2 linked regions of the Mus musculus genome follow. The protein of the gene in region 2 purifies or fractionates together with the protein of the main gene of each other region. This does not show direct contact. Links are inferred from orthologs where the notes say so. Each region holds a gene or a part of one and is shown on either strand. Other genes may lie near its edges.

Region 1 (10,453 bases), on a different chromosome or scaffold from region 2:
AAAGGGAAGGGAAAAACTGTTATTAAAAGTACAACCGTGGTGCTGGAAAGATGGCTCAGAGGTTAAGAGCACTGACTGCTCTTCCAGAGGTCCTGAGTTCAATTCCCACTAACCACATGGTGGCTCACAACCATCTGTAATGGGATCAGACGCAATCTTCTGGTGTGTCTGAAGACAGCTATAGTGTACTCATTTTTAAATGTTAAAAAAAAGTACAACCTTAAACCAGGCAATCCATGCCTTTAGTCCCAGAACTTGGGGGAGAAAAAAAAAGCATAAATATAGTAAACAAACAAACAAAAAGTTGCTAATGGGAATGTCAAATGGTAGGTAGCCCTTGTGGAAATCTTTGAAATCTAAGCATGCAAGTACTATATAACCTGGCAATGGTATTGTTAGGCATGGAAAGGTACACCCATACATGGAAAGCATCAGAGGTCAAACATACATCTATGGCATGCTATATATACTACTCACTAGTGAAAAGAACCAGATTATTGATTAAGGATATAAATCTCATGACTCTCCAAGAATTAGGCGAGTGGTAGGAGGCAATCTAAAATGGTTACAGTCTGTGTCCCCATTTACTTAGCTTTCTTGGAATGACAAGAGACCCGAGAAACACATCAGTGAGAGCTAAGAGGTGGCTGTAAGTATAAAAGGGTAACATAAGTGCCCCTAGTGGGACAGAACTGCTCTATGACTTACTTGCCTACAGTGATCCCAAAAAGCAGCAACACATGCTACCAGTGTGCAGAACTAAATAAAACACACAAGAAGTGCATGCTAAAGGTGCTGAAATAGTGAGGCCGGCAGATGCCTTAGCAGTGAAGAGAGCCTGCTGCTCTTGCAGACAAGAGGTTAGCTCCTTGTACCTGTGTTGGGCAGCTCACAATGCCTATGACTCCTGTTCCAAGGCATCGAGGCCCTCTTCTGGCTTGGGAAAGCATCTGCACACATGTGGCAGGCACACATACATACAAATCAAGAGTAAAAATAAAATTTTAAAAAGAAAAGAAAAAATGGTGGAATGTGAATATGGACACCCTGTATTTATTTCAACTTCTTAGTTGTCCTGTTATATACTGATTATTTTTGATAATAACATTGGTTGAAATCAGATTTGGGGTATTATTCCTAATAACTGTATGACAATCTAAAACAATACCAGAATCCATAATCAAAAAAGGAAAATGTATAAAATGTATGATATCAGCCAGCAGCAGGAATGGAAAAACAAAGCTTATTAATTTTCCTAAGGAAAGTCAAGGAGGGGAGGAGAACAAGAAACGCCACAAAGAACCAACAGTAGAGCCCAAGGTATAGTTGTACAACCTTTAATCCCAGCACTCGTGAGGCAGAGGCAGGTTGACCTCCCGGGCAGTCAAGGCTACACAGAGAAACCAAACAAACAGCCAATAATAAAATATGATGATCTCTTCTGCCCCTATTAAGGCTTAACTTTGAGGGGATTTTGTTCATCCCAACTTAAATCTTACTAGTTTAATAAACTATATGTCCATGTGTCTCACTAAAACCACGCCACCCATCCTCTTAGTCTACAATTTCATAGAATAAGTGATGTCCTCTTAACCATCACATCCTGAAGAACAGGAGAGTGGAATGAATTATAAATAGAATGAGTGAGATTTCTGCATATGTTTTTTGGTTGATTGGTTGGTTTTTGTTGTTGTTTGGGTTTTGGGTTTTGGGTTTGGTTTGGTTTGTTTTTTTTTTTTTTTTTTTTTTTTTTTTTTTTTTTTTTTTGAGGCAGGGTTTCTCTGTGTAGCCCTGGCTGTCCTGGAACTCACTCTGTAGACCAGGCTGGCCTCGTACTCAGAAATCCACCTGCCTCTGCCTCCCAAGTGTTGGGATTAAAGGTGTGTGCCACCACCGCTCAGCTCTGCATATGTTTTTAAAATATATTTTTAATTATTATTGTTTAAGACAGGGTCTATGTTGTCCTGGCTATTCTGGAACTTTCTACATAGACTGGGCTGGCTTTGCAGCACAAATCTGCCTGCTTCTGCCTCCCAAAAAGTGCTGGGCTTAAAAGCATGTACCACCATAACCAGCTAAATATTTTTATTTTATGGACATTGGTGTTTTAGTTACATGTTTGTCTGTGGCTCACAGGCATGTCTAGTGCTCACAGAGGCCAGAAGAGGGTGCTGAATCCCTTGAGACTGGGAGCTACAGAGGGAAGAGAGCCACTATGTGTGTGCTGAGAATTGAACCTTGTTCCTCTGAAGAGCAACCACTGCTCTTAACCTCTAAACCATCGCTCCAGGCCCTCTGTTTACACTTTTAAAGTTACTAGCTAATTACAATTTTAAGGCAGTATGTTCACACCCTTACAAGATTCTAAAGGTCATGAGTATCTTCAACCCAGTGTGGTACCCATCCATACCTTTCATCTGCGAGTAGAAATTAACCTAATATTTGTAAAACTCACTCCCTCTGAATTTATGCACTTGAACAGTCGGAATGAATTTAAGAATTAATCATCTTGTTTTGGCCTTTGTTTTGTTTTGTTTTTGAGACAATGGTTCTCCGTGTTGGCTTTGGCTCTCCTGGAACTCACTGTGTAAAGCAGGCTAGCCTTTAATTTAGATATCTGACTCAAACTCAGATTTGCCAGCCTCTGCTCCCCATCTCTGCCTTAGCCTCCACCTCCTCTGCCTGGGCCCCGCCTCCGCCTCAGTCCCCCGCCGCCTTGGCCTTGGCCTTGGCCTTGGCCTTAGCCTCTGCCTCACACCACCTTGACCTACACCTATACCTAAGCCTCCCCAGTGCTGGGATTAAAGTCCTGGACCACTACCCGAGCTAAGAACTAATTAATACTCTATTGATTAAAGCTAGTCTATGAAAACTTTGAGATGATATTCTATCATCTTTGAGATGATATTCTATATATGATATAACAAGATTCAGCCCCAGCCTTAATGTGAAGTGCACTAAAATACATATGTCTTCATAAAAAAAATCTTAGTTTTTTAAAAAACGGAAGCCAAAAGGAGGGGATTTATGGATCATCCTGCCAACCATACAGTCACTTAATTTATATATGTGAAAACTAAGAAAAGTGCCCTGTTCAAGGTGTATATAGCTAGTATAGCTGAGAGGCTGGAGTTGGAGCATCTCCAGAAGTCTGGATTCAGAACAAGATTTTGTTCTTCCTCCACCCATCACATCTCTACCCAACACAGTAAAACTCTTTATATCTGATTGATGCCAAGGCCCTTTATCCCAATTTGCACATATATTGACAATATAATACTGGTTGCTCCATGGAAATGGCAGAGATCATAAATTTGAACAGGAGTCTACCATGTTTCACACTTTTGCACACTCCGCTGAAAAGATGAGCTATGTTTGCAATTTAAGGAAAGAGGCCTCACATTTCAAATTTTGCTTGACCTGCTCAGTAGCAGCACTGTAATTGATCTCCACTTGGTGGTTTATACATTAAGAATATTTGGAAGCCTTGCTTACTGCAAGTACAAAAAGAAAAAAAAACAAAAAACTAAAGTTACAAGTGCAGGAAATGGCTTTCTTGGGTTAACTATCTGTAAAAACATGTCACTAAGCATGAATTTACAGGTTCAAGAGACAAAATATGAGAAGGAACCTCGGTTATGCTTGAATCCAACTGCATGACAGCTGAGCATATTTCCACAGAAGAGGAAACTTAGTGGTTGATTAAAACCATGAACCAGTAAAGCAAACTGCTTACTTCTTCAACAAGGTTCATTTCCCCTTATTCCCATCCCTACCGTCGTTTCTACTGAGTGAGAATTGACGATTTTTTTAAGAGGAAAAGTACGAATGAGCAAATTAATTTCAAAAGGATGGAAAAATGTCTTCGAAGGAGATGCTAGAGTAAAAGGAGAAATGACGTCTGATTTCAAATATGTAACCAGTTAGGCAATGAATCACATTCTCCTAGGTTTTTCTGTCTATAGACATCAGCCAGCCACAGATCTTTTCGGTACTCGAATGAGAGGAAGAGGAAGTGAATAAACCTAATATTAACTATACAGCACCTACTGATCGTGGAGATAAAGACGGGAAGAACACAGGGTACAAGCTGCAGCTATGATCCAGCTGTTTGCTAACATACGTAAAGGTATGGATGCTGAGAGAGTATCTATCGAAAGCGAAGGCACCCTCCCCAAATTCAAGAAAGCAGCTGTTTCTAGAACCAAAGACACCACCGCCGCCGCCGCCACCACCACCCGCGAGCGCCCGGACCCTGTTACAGAGTGTCAAGGGAGGGGACAAAATGGAGCTGAGGTCTAGGGGCGACCTAAAGGTCGTTTGGAGGTCTAGCAGGCACTTGGTGTGCTCAAGTCAACTGAGTCTTGGCAAAGCCCGGTACCCCCAGGAGGAAGAGTTCTCTCAGGCTCTCAGGGTACAGCGGGGGTACAGGGAAGAGCCAGGTGGGGTTCTGGAGGATCCCAGAAAGCATCAGAGGAGATAGTGACGGTGGTTCTCTCCATGAGCCAGCGGCCGCAGCCGGAAAGCCGAGCGCCCACCCCCACCCCCCAAACCCCGACCTCCAGCCGGCTCAGGTGAGGATCCGGGAGCACGTCAGGAATAGGGGACTCTCCGGGGCAAGGGCGCAGCAGCCGCATCCTCCCCAGCCTAGGATCACTCACCGAAGGTGCTGCCTCGCTCGCTACGAGTCTGCCACTGGGTCCCGGCCTTAAGAGGAAGGAAGCTCCTGGAGAGGAGCTCGCGTGCCCGCTAGCTCTGGAGCTGCCTGGCAAGGAGGGGCGAGCCGCGGAGACCAGTGGAAAAAAAAAGAGAGAGAGAGGGAGAGAGCCGCAGCGGCGCGCGCGCAACCCGGACAGCCAGCGGAGGCGGGGTCCGGCGCGAGCCCGGAAAAGACGAGCCCGGAGGGGCGGGCGGAGCGGGGGAGCTCGGTGGTGTGGCTGAGCCCGCCGAATCGCAGGCGGCCTCTGGCTCGGCCCACCCACACGCCCGCCTCCGCTCACTAAGGACGTCACCGCCAAAAAGGCGGAGCCCGATCGGGCTTGCAGCTGCTGCAAAGGAGGAGGGCTGCTTCCGAAGGGTCGCAGGTCGCCTAAAGCCTCCCTTGAGCCCGCAGCCACCATGCCGCTCCCGCAGTGCTGGGCAAAATAGCCCACGAGGGCTTAGCGCCCAGTAGTCTAGAGCCGCAGAACTGGCCCACGCCCTAGCGGGCTACCCGGGACTCCACCCAGGATGAAAGTTCCCCCGGGGTCATCTTCCAGCTGCCCTTAGTTAGATACCTATCTTTGGACTGCCTCGTGCTTCCTATGGGAGAGAGATCTTAACCTAGCTCCTGAAAGCCAAAGCCTTCTATCCTTTTATCTGTTGCCTTGAGCTGTATTAAGATTCCCTGCTCACTCGGGCTTATGAAATATTTCCTGAAGGCAGGGTTTTGCGCGTCACTCAGCAAAAGAGCCCACAACTGATAAAAAGTCAGTGCAGTACCGTGAGATTCTATTGCTTCTGAGACTTCTTGATAAAGGCCATTTTAATCCCCCCAAGAATTGAGAAATTATTGTTCGTAATAAATTCCAAAAGGTATCTCAGGACTTCAAGACAAAACTGTAATTGCGAATAATAAGCCACAACAAACTACCAAGAATAAGTTGCCAGAAGAAATTCTATTCTTCCAGTTCCATGACCGGCTGCTTTTTTGCTTCCTGTTACGGCTGTTTTACTAGCTACTTTTCATTTCTCTTACAGAATGACTGTGTCTGCTACACACACGTACAATAGCTTGCCTCACATTGCTGGCTTCAGTAGTGCTTTAGGCTTTGTGTGTCATAATCATCTGGGATGTTTGTTCCAATGGGAATACCTGGAGAAATAATCCTCAGATGTTTTGATGTGGGTTTTGATTTGGTGAAATTTTTTAATTTTGGATTTTTAAGAAGCACCCCTGCCGGGCGTGGTAGCGCACGCCTTTAATCCCAGCACTCCGGAGGCAGAGGCAGGCGGATTTCTGAGTTCGAGGCCAGCCTGGTCTACAAAAGTGAGGTCCAGGACAGCCAGGGCTACACAGAGAAACCCTGTCTCGAAAAGCCAAAAAAAAAAAAAAAAAAAAAAAGAAGAAGAAGAAGAAGAAGAAGCACCCCGAATGACAGTATTAGTGTGCCTGGCTGAGAGCAGAAATGTCCAGCTTGTTTGAATGTTGTTCTACAGCTGTAGCACTCATTTCATTTCCAATAGAGCCACCAACTTGGGTATAAGGCACTCATGTGCTTTTCCTTTCACAAGATTGACCTAGAAAGTTCAGGACTTCAAACAACAAACTTAATTGTCATCTTTATTTTTATGAGACCTTGTTGTAATGCCAGAAACAGATAATTATTAGTTGGCTATATAGTCCACTAGGTACCTACAGTGTACAGAAACCTGTCATTTATCCCAGAGTTAATACCAAAAAAAAAAAAAATTGAAGGAACAAACCATCTATTCCTCCAACAAACCTAGAGTTTCGTAATGGAATTAAAACAAAAGTACCACACAGACCCAGTGTTCGATATAAATCAACCTGTTAGCCCAAGCAGAAAAAGAACTTGTAATATAAATACCTTTTCTAGTTTCCTTCATCATCAGTCACGTAGCCCAGACATTTTTAATTAACTCTTCTGAACTCAGTAGTCCTCAGCTTACAGAAGTCCCTCAAAATTTACAAGGACTAAATAGAGGAGAAAAGCTATCAGGTTTTGAGTGTGAGTGTGTGTGTGTGTATGTGTGTGTGTGTGTGTGTGTGTGTGTGTGTGTGTGTGTATCGCACACATATATATCGGACCAAGAAGTTACTTGTATTTTCAAAATCTTTATCACTTAAACTATTAATTAGTGCCCACAATGTCCTGGTCAGCTTTATCACCTACCAGATCTTTTCCTTCATATTTAACCACACCCAGGATAAAGAAAAAACATTACTCCAACAAGAGGTAAAATAGCCAGGCATGGTGGCACACTTCTGTAATCCTGGTACTTGGGGGGCAGAAGCAGGTGTAGATCCATGAGTTCAAGGCCAGCCTGCTCTACAGAGTGAGTTCCAGGACAGCCAAGGCTACACAGAGAAACCCTGTCTTGAAAAATCAAAGAGAGGAGGGGGGAGGGGAGACACTGTGTCAAAGAAGAACAAAACTAAGAGCAGGGAGAAGTGGCACAGGTCTGTGATCCCAGCTCTGTACACTAAGACAGATCTAAGTTTGAGGCCAGCCTGAGCTACAAAAGGAAAGCCTATCTCAAGATCACACTATATATATTGACAATGAAAGGAAAGACTGGAGGGAGGGAGGGAGGGACAAAAGGGAAGCAAGAGAAGCCATCTAAGACTTATGACCCCAGAGCGAAAGACTTATGACCCCAGAGCAAACATTCCTCCCTCCCGGGGCAGCTGTCTGAGGTTTGAGAGCAGTTACAACTTTTTTATGCCTTTTGAGGATGGAAGATTACTGTCTTTGAAAGATGAGGAGACAGATGCAAATGAAACAATGTGTCCAGTCACAAACCTAACTAGTAATAGAGCTTGGAATTCCTACCACTCCCAGAGGCTTGCTGGAAAGTAGACTCAATAACATCCCACCAAAATCAAGTTAGAGACAAAGGAAAAGGAAGGAAAATACAAGCTGCAACTCTCAAGATACAAAATACAACACAAAAAAAAGGCATAGGCATGACAAAAAAAAAAGAAAAAAAAACAGAAGAGGTACTGAGAAGAAGGACTGAGGACAGTAGGACAGAGAGACAAATAAGTGCATACACTATTTTATACATATACAAATATGTATAAAATGTCCTAATGAAACCTACTTCTAAGTATGCTAATGTTAAAAATTCATTTCAAAGCCCTTTTTCAAAAAAGTATAGAAAAATAAAGCTTCTAGAAGCTAAATGGAATTGAACAAGGCCGCTCTGTTAGCAGATTTTTAAATGGATATTTAGTGCCTGGTAGCTTTGCTCTCGTGTAATAAGAAGCTGAAACAGATAGCCAGCCTGCTCTTGGCATTAGTTATTTATGGAAGGACAGAAAACAACTGTTCTTCACTACGTACCAAGTCTGCATCTTAAACTTACTTCTTGAGTTACTAGAATAATAATTTCCTCCTGGAGCCCAAATACAAGCAGCAGGACTTTGTGATAATATTTGAATATACAAATTATGTTAGAGTTTGCCATTAACAAACTTTATTTTTACAGACCTGATAACCAGGCAAAATATTTTCTTTAGTGGTGTGTGTGAAGCAACTAGTGAAACCAGAAACCTCAGGAGGTGATCTCACTGGGAACGAAATAATAAACTAAACTTTTTGACTTTTCAAAAGTGCTCAAAATCAGGGCTGAAGGCACAGTCCAGTAAGTCTCTGGGTTTGGTCTCCTCTATCAAATGAAAACCACAAAAATGGTCAAAGGTATACTGATTAGATATAAGTATTATTTTGAACATTGTTTTATCTTTTCTCATAGTCATTTATTTTTATCCTGATATATTTCACTGGTCTTCAGACTCACTGCACAAACCTAAGCAAATGGAAATCCGTCTAATGCTTTAAAATAGGACGTTTAATGATGCTGATTTGTCTAGTGACTTGGGTATTGCCAAGTTAATCTATAAAGACAGTAGGTTTTAAAATATATAATATTGTTACTAATTTCTGGAGCATTTCAAACACATGGAGAGTTTGATCATATTCACCCCAACACACACACACAAACACACACACTTCGCCATAACCCCTCCTGGATCTACCTCTCCACTTCCTATCCCCTCTCCCAACTTCATCTCTTGTTTTTATAACCCACTGATTCCTATGGGTACCACTTATGTACTCATGTGGTGGGACCAGTCCCTAGGGCTTGCTCAGTTTACTAGGGGCCACATCTTTTTTTTTTTTTTTTTTTTTTTTTTTTGGTTTCGAGACAGGGTTTCTCTGTATAGCCCTGGCTGTCCTGGAACTCACTCTGTAGACCAGGCTGGCCTTGAACTCAGAAATCTGCCTGCCTCTGCTTCCCAAGTGCTGGGATTAAAGGCGTGCGCCACCACACCCAACTAGGGGCCACATCTTTTAAAACAACCAGCTCTCCTTACTCCAGAATCTATCAATTGGCAATACCCTACCCCACCAACCCCAAGGCCACATGGACTAGCTAGAAATCATACAGGCACTCAGAGCTGCAGGCACTAGAGTTTTAATGGAACTTTATTTCAGTTTCTCTTTCGAGACTCCTTCAATGTCCTTTTTAAAGCTAACTCCGAAGCTCCCTAAATAAATATTGGCAGTGTTCCTTGACAAAAAATGCTTTAGCAACTTTCCAAAGAAGGAAAAAAATATATTGTTCATAAAGCCAGGAAGAAGGGGGAGAGGGAGGGAGGGAGAGAAAGAAAAGAGATGGGGATAAAGAGGGGAAGGGGGGAGAGGAGGGGAGGGGGAGGGAAGGGGAAGAGAGGAGGAGGGAGAGAGAGAGTGAGAGATGCTAGAAGTCATCAAATCTGTAAGAAAGTTATCTTTGTGCTTTTAGTCTGATCATATTAGATAAAAAGATCACCAGTCTTTTAAAAAAAAAAAAAAAAAGATTTATTGCCAGGCAGTGGTGGCACACGCCTTTAATTACAGGACTTGGGAGGCAGAGGCAGGCAGATTTCTGAGTTTGAGGACAGCCTGGTCTACAGAGAAACCCTGTCTCGAAAAAACAAACAAACAAACAAACAAAAAAGTTTTATTTATATGAGTACATTATAGATATCTTCAGACATACCAAAAGATGGCATCGGATCCTATTACAGATGGTTGTGAATCACCGTGTGGTTGCTGGGAATTGAACTCAGGAGAGCAATCAGTACTCTTAACTGTTGAGCCATCCCCCCAACCCAAGATCACCAACCTTGTAACTCACTCAAATCCTCTATCCTTCCCCTCTAACACACAAGAAGATCCCATAAGTCATATTCTTGTTTGTTTGTTTGTTTGTTTGTTTTTCGAGACAGGGTTTCTCTGTATAGCCCTGGCTGTCCTGGAACTCACTTTGTAGACCAGGCTGGCCTCGAACTCAGAAATCCGCCTGCCTCTGCCTCCCGAGTGCTGGGATTAAAGGTGTGCGCCACCATGCCCGGCAATTATATTCTTAAATGGCTAGTAAAATAATACCTTTTTAAGTGTGTTTTCCTCAGAGTCACCCATTATTATAGCTGGTAGATCAATGACAGGGGCAACGAAGTAGGAGGGGAAACCACCTGGGATGTGGACTTGGGCCAATCATCCTACAGCAAGCCATGCAACCTGTTTCTCAATCTCAAGCTCTTCACCTGCGAAGTGGAGGTAATAATATACCTCACTTACAAGACCCATCAGAAGGAAAATGAAATGAAAATGTACTCATAAAACATCTACTTGCAGCATTTGTGTAGAAACGGCAGCTATGGGTTACTGGTGTGACTTTA
Region 2 (10,551 bases):
GAAGAGGATGCGGAAGAGTGTAGGAGCCAGAGCAGATGCACCAGGAAAACAATGTGACCAAAACTCCTATGAAGGCTGGAGATGGCTCAGTGGTTAAGAGCACTGACTGCCCTGCGAGAGGTCCTGAGTTCAATTCCCAGCATCCACATGGTGACTCACAATCATCTGTACTGGGATCCAGTGCCCTCTTCTGGTGTCTGAAGACAGCCACAGTGTACTCATGTACATAAAAATAAATAAGTCTTTCCTCCTGTCCATCTCCAATGTGATAGATAGGGTTTGGCTTTTTTAAGTTACTATATTTTATTTTGTTATATTTTATTATTGTCCCTTAGGGACAAAAGCCTGTTTGTTGATGCTGTTGTCTTTTTTAATATATGTGATTTATTTATTTTTATATATGTGAATACACTGTCACTGTCTTCAGACACACCAGAAGAGGGCATCAGATCCCATTACAGATGGTTGTGAACCACCATGTGGTTGCTGGGAATTGAACTCAGGACCTCTGTCAGGGCAGTCAGTGCTCTTAACCTCCGAGCCACCTCTCCAGTCTGTTGTTGTTGTTTCTAATGAGAGACAAAAGAGAATGGATCTGGATGGTAGGGGATGTGGGAGGAATTGGGAGGAGTAGCGGGAGGGGAAACCATAGCCAGGATATATTGTATGAGAAAACAATCTACTTTCAATAAAGGGAGAAAAAATGAAGACGAAGAGCTTTTGAGAAAGATGCTCAACGGTGACTTCTGGCCCTTTCTCCTCCCATGGACATGTACATACATGTACAAACACACACACACACACACACATACATATACCACAGAGACATAGAAAGAAAGAAAAAAAAAGATATAGCAGATGTACAATGATATTTCTGCTTTTGAAACTGGATGTTCTATTGGCAGCCGCCTCCCCAGGCAGCCGCTCAATGTGTTTATTTTCAGCTTCCATAAAAATTCAGTTAAGAAACTGATATGGAGACATGGATACATAATGTAAATATTGTGGGTTGTTGGAACATAGAGATATGCATGTGGAAAGAACACTAGAATCTGGAGTTCACAGTCCTGAGTAACAGCTTCAGCTTCCTAATATAAATTATGGGAGTCTGAGTTTTTAGTTGTAAACATTAAAATCCAACTTTGGCAGTCGTGAGGAAAAATATTTTATTAGAAATTGTGATGGTTTGTATATCCTTGGACAAGGGAGTGGCACCATCTGAAGGTGTGGCCTTGTTGGAATAGGTGTGGCCTGGTTGGAATGGGTGTGTCACTGTGGATGTGGGTATAAGATCCTCACCCTAGTTGCCTGGAAGTCTTCCACTAGCAGCCTTTGGATGAAGACATAGAACTCTCAGCTCTGCCTGTGCCATGCCTGCCTGGATACTGCCATGCTCCCACCTTGATGATAATGGACTGAACCTCTGAACCCGTAAGCCAGCCCCAATTAAATGTTTTTTATAAGACTTGCCTTGGTCATGGTGTCTGTTCACAGCAGTAAAACCCTAACTAAGACAGAAATATAAAGGGAATTTGAGGATCACCAGGAAATCTAGAGAATCAGGCTAGGATGCCAGGTAACTGGAACACCACTATTTGCTGACCATTGGATCCCACTGGAGGGATGCAAGCTCACAGCTTTCAGGGTACCCAATGATGCTCTAGTCAAGCTGCTGGTGTTGCTTTGGAGCTGTTACATAACATGTAGGCCTCAGTTCTGCACAGGGAATGTTTATTTGTACAATTAGAGTTAAGTGGGAAGACAGAACCGATCTAGAGTTTCAACTTCCATAACAAAATACCTGGTTTGGTTCTCAACAAGCTCATCATTGAAGACCCCCCGTAAGGTAGGAAGAGAGCTGAGACCCGCAGGCAGCCGAAAAGGATGATAGCTGTTGGGTTACCTGTGGCCAAATGACTCTGCCTGAGTCTAATCTCTCTATAAAGCAAAAGTCTACATGGCCGTGGAGACTGTATGTGCCCTCGTTCATTTGCTATAAATACGAATGACATGCCAGGCTGCTAAGGTGAGCAAGCCCACTCCAGTCAAATGAAGTAGAGAAGTCAAGAGACAAGAGCATTACACACATGGTGGGATGGAGGCCTGCGCCAGACAGATGAGGGTAAGAAGAGAGGAGCAACCAGTCGCTTACAAATACTGTTCTTGTGCACAGACATGCATGTAGCCAAAGCACACTTACGCATAAAATAAAAATAAGTAAATCTTAAATAAAACGCCACTGTCTTGACGTTTAAATGTTTATACAAGAAATAAAATCCCCCCGCCCCCGTGGCACCTTTGGACAGATGAAGAAGACAGACAGCATGCTGTGTTAGACGGGCCCCATTGTTGTCCTTTGAATGTCCTAACCTTTTTAGAGAAATGCCAACACAAACAATAATGTTTGATAGCACAAATCCAGGAACTCAGGCTTTTAATTGGGTATTGAAATTCATATTCAGCCTGCTGGTTTCATACAATGGGCCACTTTTCAAAGGATTAGACGTGCGATCGGTTTGCCAAACGTAAGCGACGTCTAAGCATGGCCTTTCCACTACATCTGTGTGCTTGCTGAACAGCTCTCGGTCAGCATTCAATTGTTGGGTTTGGGTCTAGGTGTTTTGTTTGGGGTTTAAACAAATGAATCGTTGAAGGCTGGGATGTAGGGGGGTACAGGGGGTACAGGGGGGTAGCACTTGCTCAGCATGTGCAAGACCCTGAATTTGCCTTAACCACTGCATAAAACAACACCCCCCCCAAATTTGACTTTACTGCAAAACTGTCTCAGATCCGTGTGTGTGCCCCCATATCCACTTCCAGTACTTCAGGCCAGTCTCTACTTCTCTTGTCTTCTCAGCACAGAGTATCGAACACCTGCATTCTCCCCCTTCAATGGCTTCCTTTATCATGGCTTATGAAATACTGATGACCTCTAATACCCTTTTATCTAAGACCTCGGGATGGTGGGATACAGGGTTGGAGAGACAGCTTACTAGTCAGGAGGTTTATTGCTCTTGCAAAGGATCCACTTGGTGGCTCACAACTGTCTATATTCAAGTTCCAAGGGCTCCGGCTCCCTCTTCTGGCTTCCAGGGCCCCCTGTGTGCACATAAATCAGGTGCATAAAATACGCATAAAAGTAAAAAAAATCTACAAAAAAAATATTTTTTCTTAGGAGTCGTCTTGTCTCCCTCAGCGCAGGAGCTTTCTCTGGCCTCTTTCACATAGCTACTCTCATGAGGTCATCACATTCCTCAAACCCTAGTTTTCAACCAAAGAGCTCTTTTCATGTACTTCATATAATTTTAAATACATATGGACTTAAACAGCTTTTCCGGTTTATCCTCTCCGCCACAGAGTGGATTTCAGAACAGGAGCCACCACCGCTTTGTTCTCTTGGGCCCATAACTAGTAGTTGGTGCAACAGGTACTACACACATCATTTGCGTTGTGCCAAACGTTTTCCACACAACCCACCCATGGCCCCAAGTCCTTCCTGACTTCTAGCTGGGCTCAGGGTGACTCCAGCTCCTATGTGCTCATATGCACGGAGCCCAGGGTGCTGTTAGGCTATAGTGGTGATGGGAAGGATCCGCCCGCTTCCAGGCCCCTAGGAGCCTCCGGCAGTTCCCGCCCACGATGCTGTTCCCACCCCTTCGGAGGCCACGCTCGCCCTCCATCGCCGAGCCCCGCTCGCCCCGCCCTCCTTCCAGTCTCACGGCCGCGCGCGCTCGCAGGCCAGCCCTACACCCGCGTCACGTGACAGCCACCGGGGGCGGGGCTCGCGGCGAAGTCGGACCCCGCTGTGGCCGAGCGCCGCAGTCCTCCGGCAGCCCTGCGGCTTCCAGGGCGTCGCGGCCGCGGCCGGGCAGCGCCGCTCCCTGAGGTAAGAGGCGCAGGAAGGAGGCTTCTCGGGAGCCCGCGGATGCTCCAGGCTCACCGGCCGCTCGGTCCCTCCGTGGGCCCAGCGTTTGGCTGGGGTGCGGGGACCGGGCCTGGGGGCACTGCGGGAGGTGGGGGGCCTCGGCTGCCGGAGCTCCGGGAGAGCTGTGCCCCCGTCCGCCCCCACCCCGGACCCACCCGCGGTCGCCTCCAGCCCCAGGGCTTTGCAAGTGTCTGAGAGAATGAATGCGATTTTGCGGTTTGCTAGCCTTCACCTGGGATGCAGGAGAGAGCGTGCAGTCGCGCACCCAGTGGGTCTGGTTTTAACAAGTCGCGGAGACTCGGTTTCCGCAAATCTTTGAAGGAAGAGGGGACGACCCCCTGCCCGGCCTCCCTCCTGCACTGATGGCAGAGCCGTTTGGAGAGCCAGAACTCCGGAGTTGGTGTTAGTTCCATCCACCACCCACTAGCCAGGCAACCTTGAGCCACGTCGGTGGTGCTTCTGTTAAAAGTAGAGATGATGTAAATGAGCTAAATACCTAATAAAAAATGGAAAAAAAAAATAAATAAATAAAAGTAGAGATGAATTCTTCGGCCCGAGGTTGCTGTGAGGATTAAGCAGGAAACGTTGAGGACTCCTTAGAGAGCACTCTCCGTGTGAGCATTGTTAAAATAGCAATCTAGGAGTCCATGATAGACGTCTTTCTCGCAGTAAGCACACCGTCCTCTGTGAATGTGATTCTGAAAAATGTGTCGTTTTGGCTGAGGAGCCCTCTCCCCTTTCCCAGGCCCCCTTTGCCTTCTGTTTCATATTGGCATGTGAACCTGTTGTTCCTACCGAATGAGTCAGGCAGGATGGGAACGCTAATTTACTTGAGCAGATGGGTATCAGATTCCCTCTGAGGGGAAAGAAAACTGTCAGGCATGTGCTATCACAAAAAAAAAAAAAAAAAAAAAAAAAATACAGTAGGGTGATTGACTGTCTACTGGAAGATGCCTAGGAGCCCATGGAATCCAGCCGTCTCCTGCACACAGAGAAGCTAGACCAAGAACGAGGCCAGGACTTTGATTTTGCTCAGCCATCAACACTGTTGGCCTTGGGTAGTAGAAAGAATGCTTGAGCTTGCCTATGTTCTAACTCAACTGTTCGTTTATTCTGGCAACAAGATCCAGACAATGGTGTCTGCCCCCATGGAGCTGTTTGCATAGCTAGCTATGTTAGTTATATAAAAGTCTGTATGTGCACACACAGGTGTGTGTGTGTGTGTGTGCGCGCGCGCGTGTGCTCACGTGAGTCCATGTCTGTGTGTGTCTGTGCCCCTCTGCTGGTTTGCGGTATGTTTTATGATAACAATAAGCTTTCAGCTCCCAGAGAGCTGGCCTCATAGCATCTGGCCCCAGGAGACCAGCACACAGGAGAGGCTTGAATTGTTTCATGATCCCTGTCAGGTCTCCAGTCCTGGTGGAAGCTTGCTGAGATTTGGAGACGGGAGAAAATGGCACACTTTGTCAGAGCTTTTAGGAAAGGATTTCCTCTGGCTTGGAATGCCTGGATTTCTTTGTCTCTCTGGTCTCTGGCCTCTTATTGTTTTTAGATATCTAAAGAGAGCAGCCCTCAACACGGTGCCTTCATTTTGGTTTCCATGGTTATCAGGGGAATTACGTTTACATGATGGCACCGGTAGCTATTGAGCTGTGTGGCCAACCACCAGTCACTCGTCTGTCGTTCTGGCTTGTTTCGTTTTTTTTTTTTTTTCTTTTTCCAGTTGCAGTGCAGACATATTCTCCCTTTTCTTATTTCCTCCTTTCCTCCTGCTCTTCAACAAGTGACAGTGTGAAGAGGGATGGGATGGGAATGAGAGCCAATGAAATAAAGATAGACATGGGAGAATGTAGAATCCTTTTTTGGCCCATCCCATTGGTGGTGGTGATAATGGTGGCAGCAGTGGTGGTGGTGATGATGGTGGTGATGATGCAGATGCGGAGCTGTGGTATAAGACTAAGGGTATCGTCAGGTGCGAGGGTCAGGTCCGTGGACCTCTGGAAAGATGCAGATGGTGAATCAGCCTGAGCTCGCAGAGGCAGACAGACAGTGTCCTGGGCAACAAGAATGCCTCACCTGCTTTTCAAAGGAGATGAGAGAGAAACGTATTCCTTTAATGGGCCGCAGTCACAGAGGGATTACCACATAGCACAGTAGCATTCGTGCCCTGAGTTTCCATTAATGGATGAGCCGCCTCTCTTTTTTTGGGGGGGGGGGTGGGGGTGGGAGGGAGGTTTTGAGACAGGGTTTCTCTGTGTAGCCCTGGCTGTCCTGGAACTCACTCTGTAGACCAGGCTGGCCTCCAACTCAGAAATCCGCCTGCCTCTGCCTCCCAAGTGTTGGGATTAAAGGCGTGCGCCACTACTGTCCGGCTCGCTGTTCCTTCTCCAAGTCGCCTGTCCTGGGCTTTGTGTGAACGAGCTACGGATTCTCCTGTCAGCTTGGGGATTTGTTTCCCTACTCACCTAACGTAATGGGGTTGTTAACATAAAGGGGCACTAGAGTAACACCTGTGTATGAGCCATTTGTTTCGGGTGAGATGTTTAACCAGTGTGTCTAATCTCTCAAGTTGGCCACCTGACTGACACAGTCACATATTGGTTTATTTTTTTCTAGTATTCTGCCAAGTAATCCAAGGCCTTCATTAGTAAGGATTCTAAACTCTCTGGAGGCTTCTGTTGCCCAGAGGGGTCCTTCTTGTCACTCTCAGAGGAGAGAGAGCTGTGAGTGCTGCACCCAACTGTTATCTCTGACCGCCGTGTGATGTCACTGGAAGAGCTGCCCCGCACAGTCCAAGGATGTGTAGTAATTGCTGCTCAGTGTCCTTTAGGGACCAGATCCCTGTCAGTTAGTCGGATCCCTGCCAGTCAGATCCCTGCCAGTCAGTCGGATCCCTGCCAGTCAGTCAGATCCCTGCCAGTCAGTCAGATCCCTGCCAGTCAGTCAGATCCCTGCCAGTCAGTCTGATGCCTGCCAGTCAGTCGGATCCCTGCCAGTCAGTCAGATCCCTGCCAGTCAGTTGGATCCCTGCCAGTCAGATCCCTGCCAGTGCCAGTCAGTCAGATCCCTGCCAGTCAGTTGGATCCCTGCCAGTCAGATCCCTGCCAGTTAGTCAGATCCCTGCCAGTCAGATCCCTGCCAGTCAGTCAGATCCCTGCCAGTCAGATCCCTGCCGGTCAGTCAGAACCCTGCCAGTCAGTCGGATCCCTGCCAGTCAGTCGGATCCCTGCCAGTCAGTCAGATCCCTGCCAGTCAGTCGGATCCCTGCCAGTCAGTCAGATCCCTGCCAGTCAGTCAGATCCCTGCCAGTCAGTCAGATCCCTGCCAGTCAGTCAGATCCCTGCCAGTCAGATTCCCTCTGGACTCTCAGGTTAGAGCTTTCTTTAGTTCCCAAAGCACCACTTCCTGGGCCTTGAATTGAGCTTGCTCCTAGGCTGACTTCTTCTATCCTTCAGGGGTCACCGCTCGTCACTGAGATTTCCTCCCGCCCCTTTCAAGTCTTTTATCTGAATTTAAGGCCTCCATCGCCCTTCCTTTTCCTATGCTTAACCCGAGTGAGTCCCTTTGGTAAACTAGTTCTGCTTTGTCATGGGGTTTTACCTAAGCAGAGATCCTCAGGAATGGCAGTTTTCAACACGCCACCCAGGTCGTTAGGTACCTCTTTCAGCCTTGTTCTCCCAAGTGCAAAAAGGATCTTCGGGTGATTCTTGACAAAGCATCCATGTGTTCCCAGGCGACTGTTTCCACCTGCAGTCTTAGGTGAGGCAATTGCAAACATCCTCAGCTCACCCCCTGCTTTAGTGGAGGTGGGGCATGCTTGCAATCTCATCACTCTATAGGGTAGGGCAGGAGGATCAAGAGCTTAGGTCCACCCAGGCTTCGTGAGACTTTACTGAAAGAAAAATGAAAAAGAATATGCTCTACTGAAAGCAAAGCGTGTTTGGTATATGCAGTGTTAGGAGTTTGGGAACCAAGGTTTTAAATTGAAGACAAAGGATTGCATCCAGGCAAGGTGACACTATCATCCCAGCTCTTGAAAGACTGAGGCAGGAGGATTTCTTGAGCCTAGGAGTTTGAGTAAGTATGGCAAGATCTCAATCCAGAAACAAACAAAAGCCCGGTTAGGAGGGTTTTTGTTTGTTTTGTTTTGTTTTGTTTTTAATGATGGTTTTTATGTTCTTTCAATTTTTCTAAGAATCAGTATGTTTATTTCACTATCTTTGTTTTGAACATTTTTTTACTCTGAAAGATAATATATACAGATGTGGCACAGATGTATAGTTTGGCAAATAGTAGTGAGGTAAGTCACAGTGTAAACACTGCAGCCTTAAGAAATGGAGTGTGGTCAGAGCTTCCTTCCAAGCCTGAGCTCCTCCCCCAGAGGCTGCCATCTTGACCTGTGGATGGCCGTCTCTTTGTCACATGCCTTGTGTGTGTGCATCTATCTCTACACAGTGCCGTTTAGTTTAACTCCATGCGTGTGAGATCACCCTGTCTGTATCCTGGGTTTTGCTGCTTTTGCTCAGTGTGTCACTGGTGTGATTAGGTCACAGTAAGTTCAGTCAGCAGTGGGTGGGCACTGGGTTACCAAGGACGTTTGCAAACATAGTCTCTCTTTCTTTTTTAAAAGATTTATTTATTTTTATGTATTTATCTGAGTACACTGTAGCTGTCTTCAGACACCCCAGAAGAGGGCATCAGATCCCATTACAGTTGGTTGTGAGCCACCATGTGGTTGCTGGGATTTGAACTCAGGACCTCTGGAAGAGCAGTCAGTGCTCTTAACCACTGAGCCATCTCTCCAGCCCTAGTCTCTCTCTTTTAAATTGCATTTACTCATTTGTTTGTGTAGCGGTAGGAGACTTGCATAAGGTGGGTTCCCAGGATGGACCTCAGATCATCAGGCTTGCCTCCTGACCCTGTCTCTGGCCTTCCTCAGGCATAGTCTGTCATGTATACCAACAAGCCTCCTAGGTTACAGTCATCCAGACGGAATTGCTTTGTCTTTGATGGTGGCTGATTTTGGTTTTCCTTGTTGGTTTGCTTTTTGAGACAAAAACTAACTGTGTAGTTCAAGCTGTCCTGGAACTCAGTATATAACCAAGACTGACCTGGAGCACACAGCAGTCCTCCTGCCTCAAGCTTCTATGTGCTGGAATCTACAGGTATGAACTACTATGCCAGCTTCTAAGTTTCTTCCCTACTAGCAGTTTGTGAGTTATGTTTGTTCCCAGTCTTGGGAGATACTTGCTTTGGCCAGTTTATTATTTTTATGTGTATTGTGTGTCTCGAGGCTTTGACTTACTTTCCTTGGTTATTGCTGATATTGAACACTTTGCTATGGTTAATGGGATGGCCTCTGTGAAATATCCAAGTCATCAGACCTGTTTTTTAATGTGGTTCCAGGTTGGCAGGGTTGTCGGGCACTTTATCCACAGGTCCATTCAGCTGGTTCTGCAGGTACATTGTTAAGTGAAGCCCACGCTCTACTCGACACTGTGATCCACATATCAGTGAAAGCGTGCAGAGTCCGTCTGTCCGTCTAGGTCTGTGCGGCCTCACTTAGTATCTATAGTTTTCAGGCTCCTCCATTCACCTTCGTTGTATGTAGGTACCATGCTTTCATGGTGGATGGACATCTAAGTTGTACTCATGTCCTGTGTTGTCAGCAGGGCAGCAGTGAACATGAGCGAGCAGATGTCTCCAGTAGGCTCTGGGGGGCCTCTGGGTATGCCTGGGAGTGGTCTAGCTGGGTGGTGTGGTAGACATATCTCCTCTGGCTCTTTGAGGAACCGCCACACTGGTTTCATAGTGGCAACACCACTCTGCTCTCCCAGGAGCAGTGAATGAGGGCTTCTCTCTCCCACATCCTTGCCGAGGCGTTTGTTCTCACTTGTTTTCTTTTCTTTTTTTTTTTTTTCTTTTTTTCTTTTCTTTTTTTTTTTTTTTTTTTTGAGACAGGGTTTCTCTGTGTAGCCCTGGCTGTCCTGGAACTCGCTCTGTAGACCAGGCTGGCCTTGAACTCAGAAATCCACCTGCCTCTGCCTCCCAAGTGCTGGGATTAAAAGGCACTTGTTTTCTTATGGTTAACCATTCTGACCGGTCGAAACAAAATGTCAAAGTGGTTTTCGTTCACATTTCCCTGATGGCTAATGCAAATGTTGAGAACTTTAAAAGATAGATCTTAGACATTTGTGTTTAAGGTTTATTTGTTTGTTTGTTTGTTTTTTAAGCTGTGTGTGATCCTTTTACGAGGTTCCCCATAATCTCAGGCCTTTGACTACGTGAGGACAGTCGGTGGCACTGTTTGGAGAGGTTTAGGAGGTGTGGCTTTGTTGAAAGAAGTATGTCACTGGAGGAGGGCTTCGAGAATTTAAGGTTCCTGCACTCTGCTTTCTGCTTGTGTTTAAGATATGCGCTGTCACCTTGATGTGTGTCCCTCCATCACTCTACCTCAGTGGACTCTGACCCTATGGAACTAGAAGCACAAGCAAACTCTCTATAGTCAAGTTGGTCATGGTGTTTATCACAGCAATAGAAATGTAGCTAAGACACTGGGCTTCACTGTGTATCCCAAGCTGACCTGGAACTTGCTGTGTAGACCAGGCTGGTCATGAATTAATAGA

The links.
Region 1: the proteins of Fbxo10 (region 2) and Acsl4 purify together in Homo sapiens (affinity purification with western blotting; 3 studies listed by BioGRID, with this or other methods). This does not show direct contact. The link is inferred for Mus musculus from reciprocal best matches to the Homo sapiens genes FBXO10 and ACSL4.

What each region holds. Positions count from the first base shown.
Region 1 is NC_000086.7:142,385,644-142,396,096, forward strand, and holds the start of Acsl4 (long-chain-fatty-acid--CoA ligase 4), read right to left. Parts: upstream 4,893-10,453; 5' UTR 4,662-4,892; intron 1-4,661. UniProt on the Homo sapiens protein: Catalyzes the conversion of long-chain fatty acids to their active form acyl-CoA for both synthesis of cellular lipids, and degradation via beta-oxidation. Preferentially activates arachidonate and eicosapentaenoate as substrates.
Region 2 is NC_000070.6:45,077,825-45,088,375, reverse strand, and holds the start of Fbxo10 (F-box only protein 10), read left to right. Parts: upstream 1-3,771; 5' UTR 3,772-3,886; intron 3,887-10,551. UniProt on the Homo sapiens protein: Substrate-recognition component of the SCF (SKP1-CUL1-F-box protein)-type E3 ubiquitin ligase complex. Mediates the ubiquitination and degradation of BCL2, an antiapoptotic protein, thereby playing a role in apoptosis by controlling the stability of BCL2.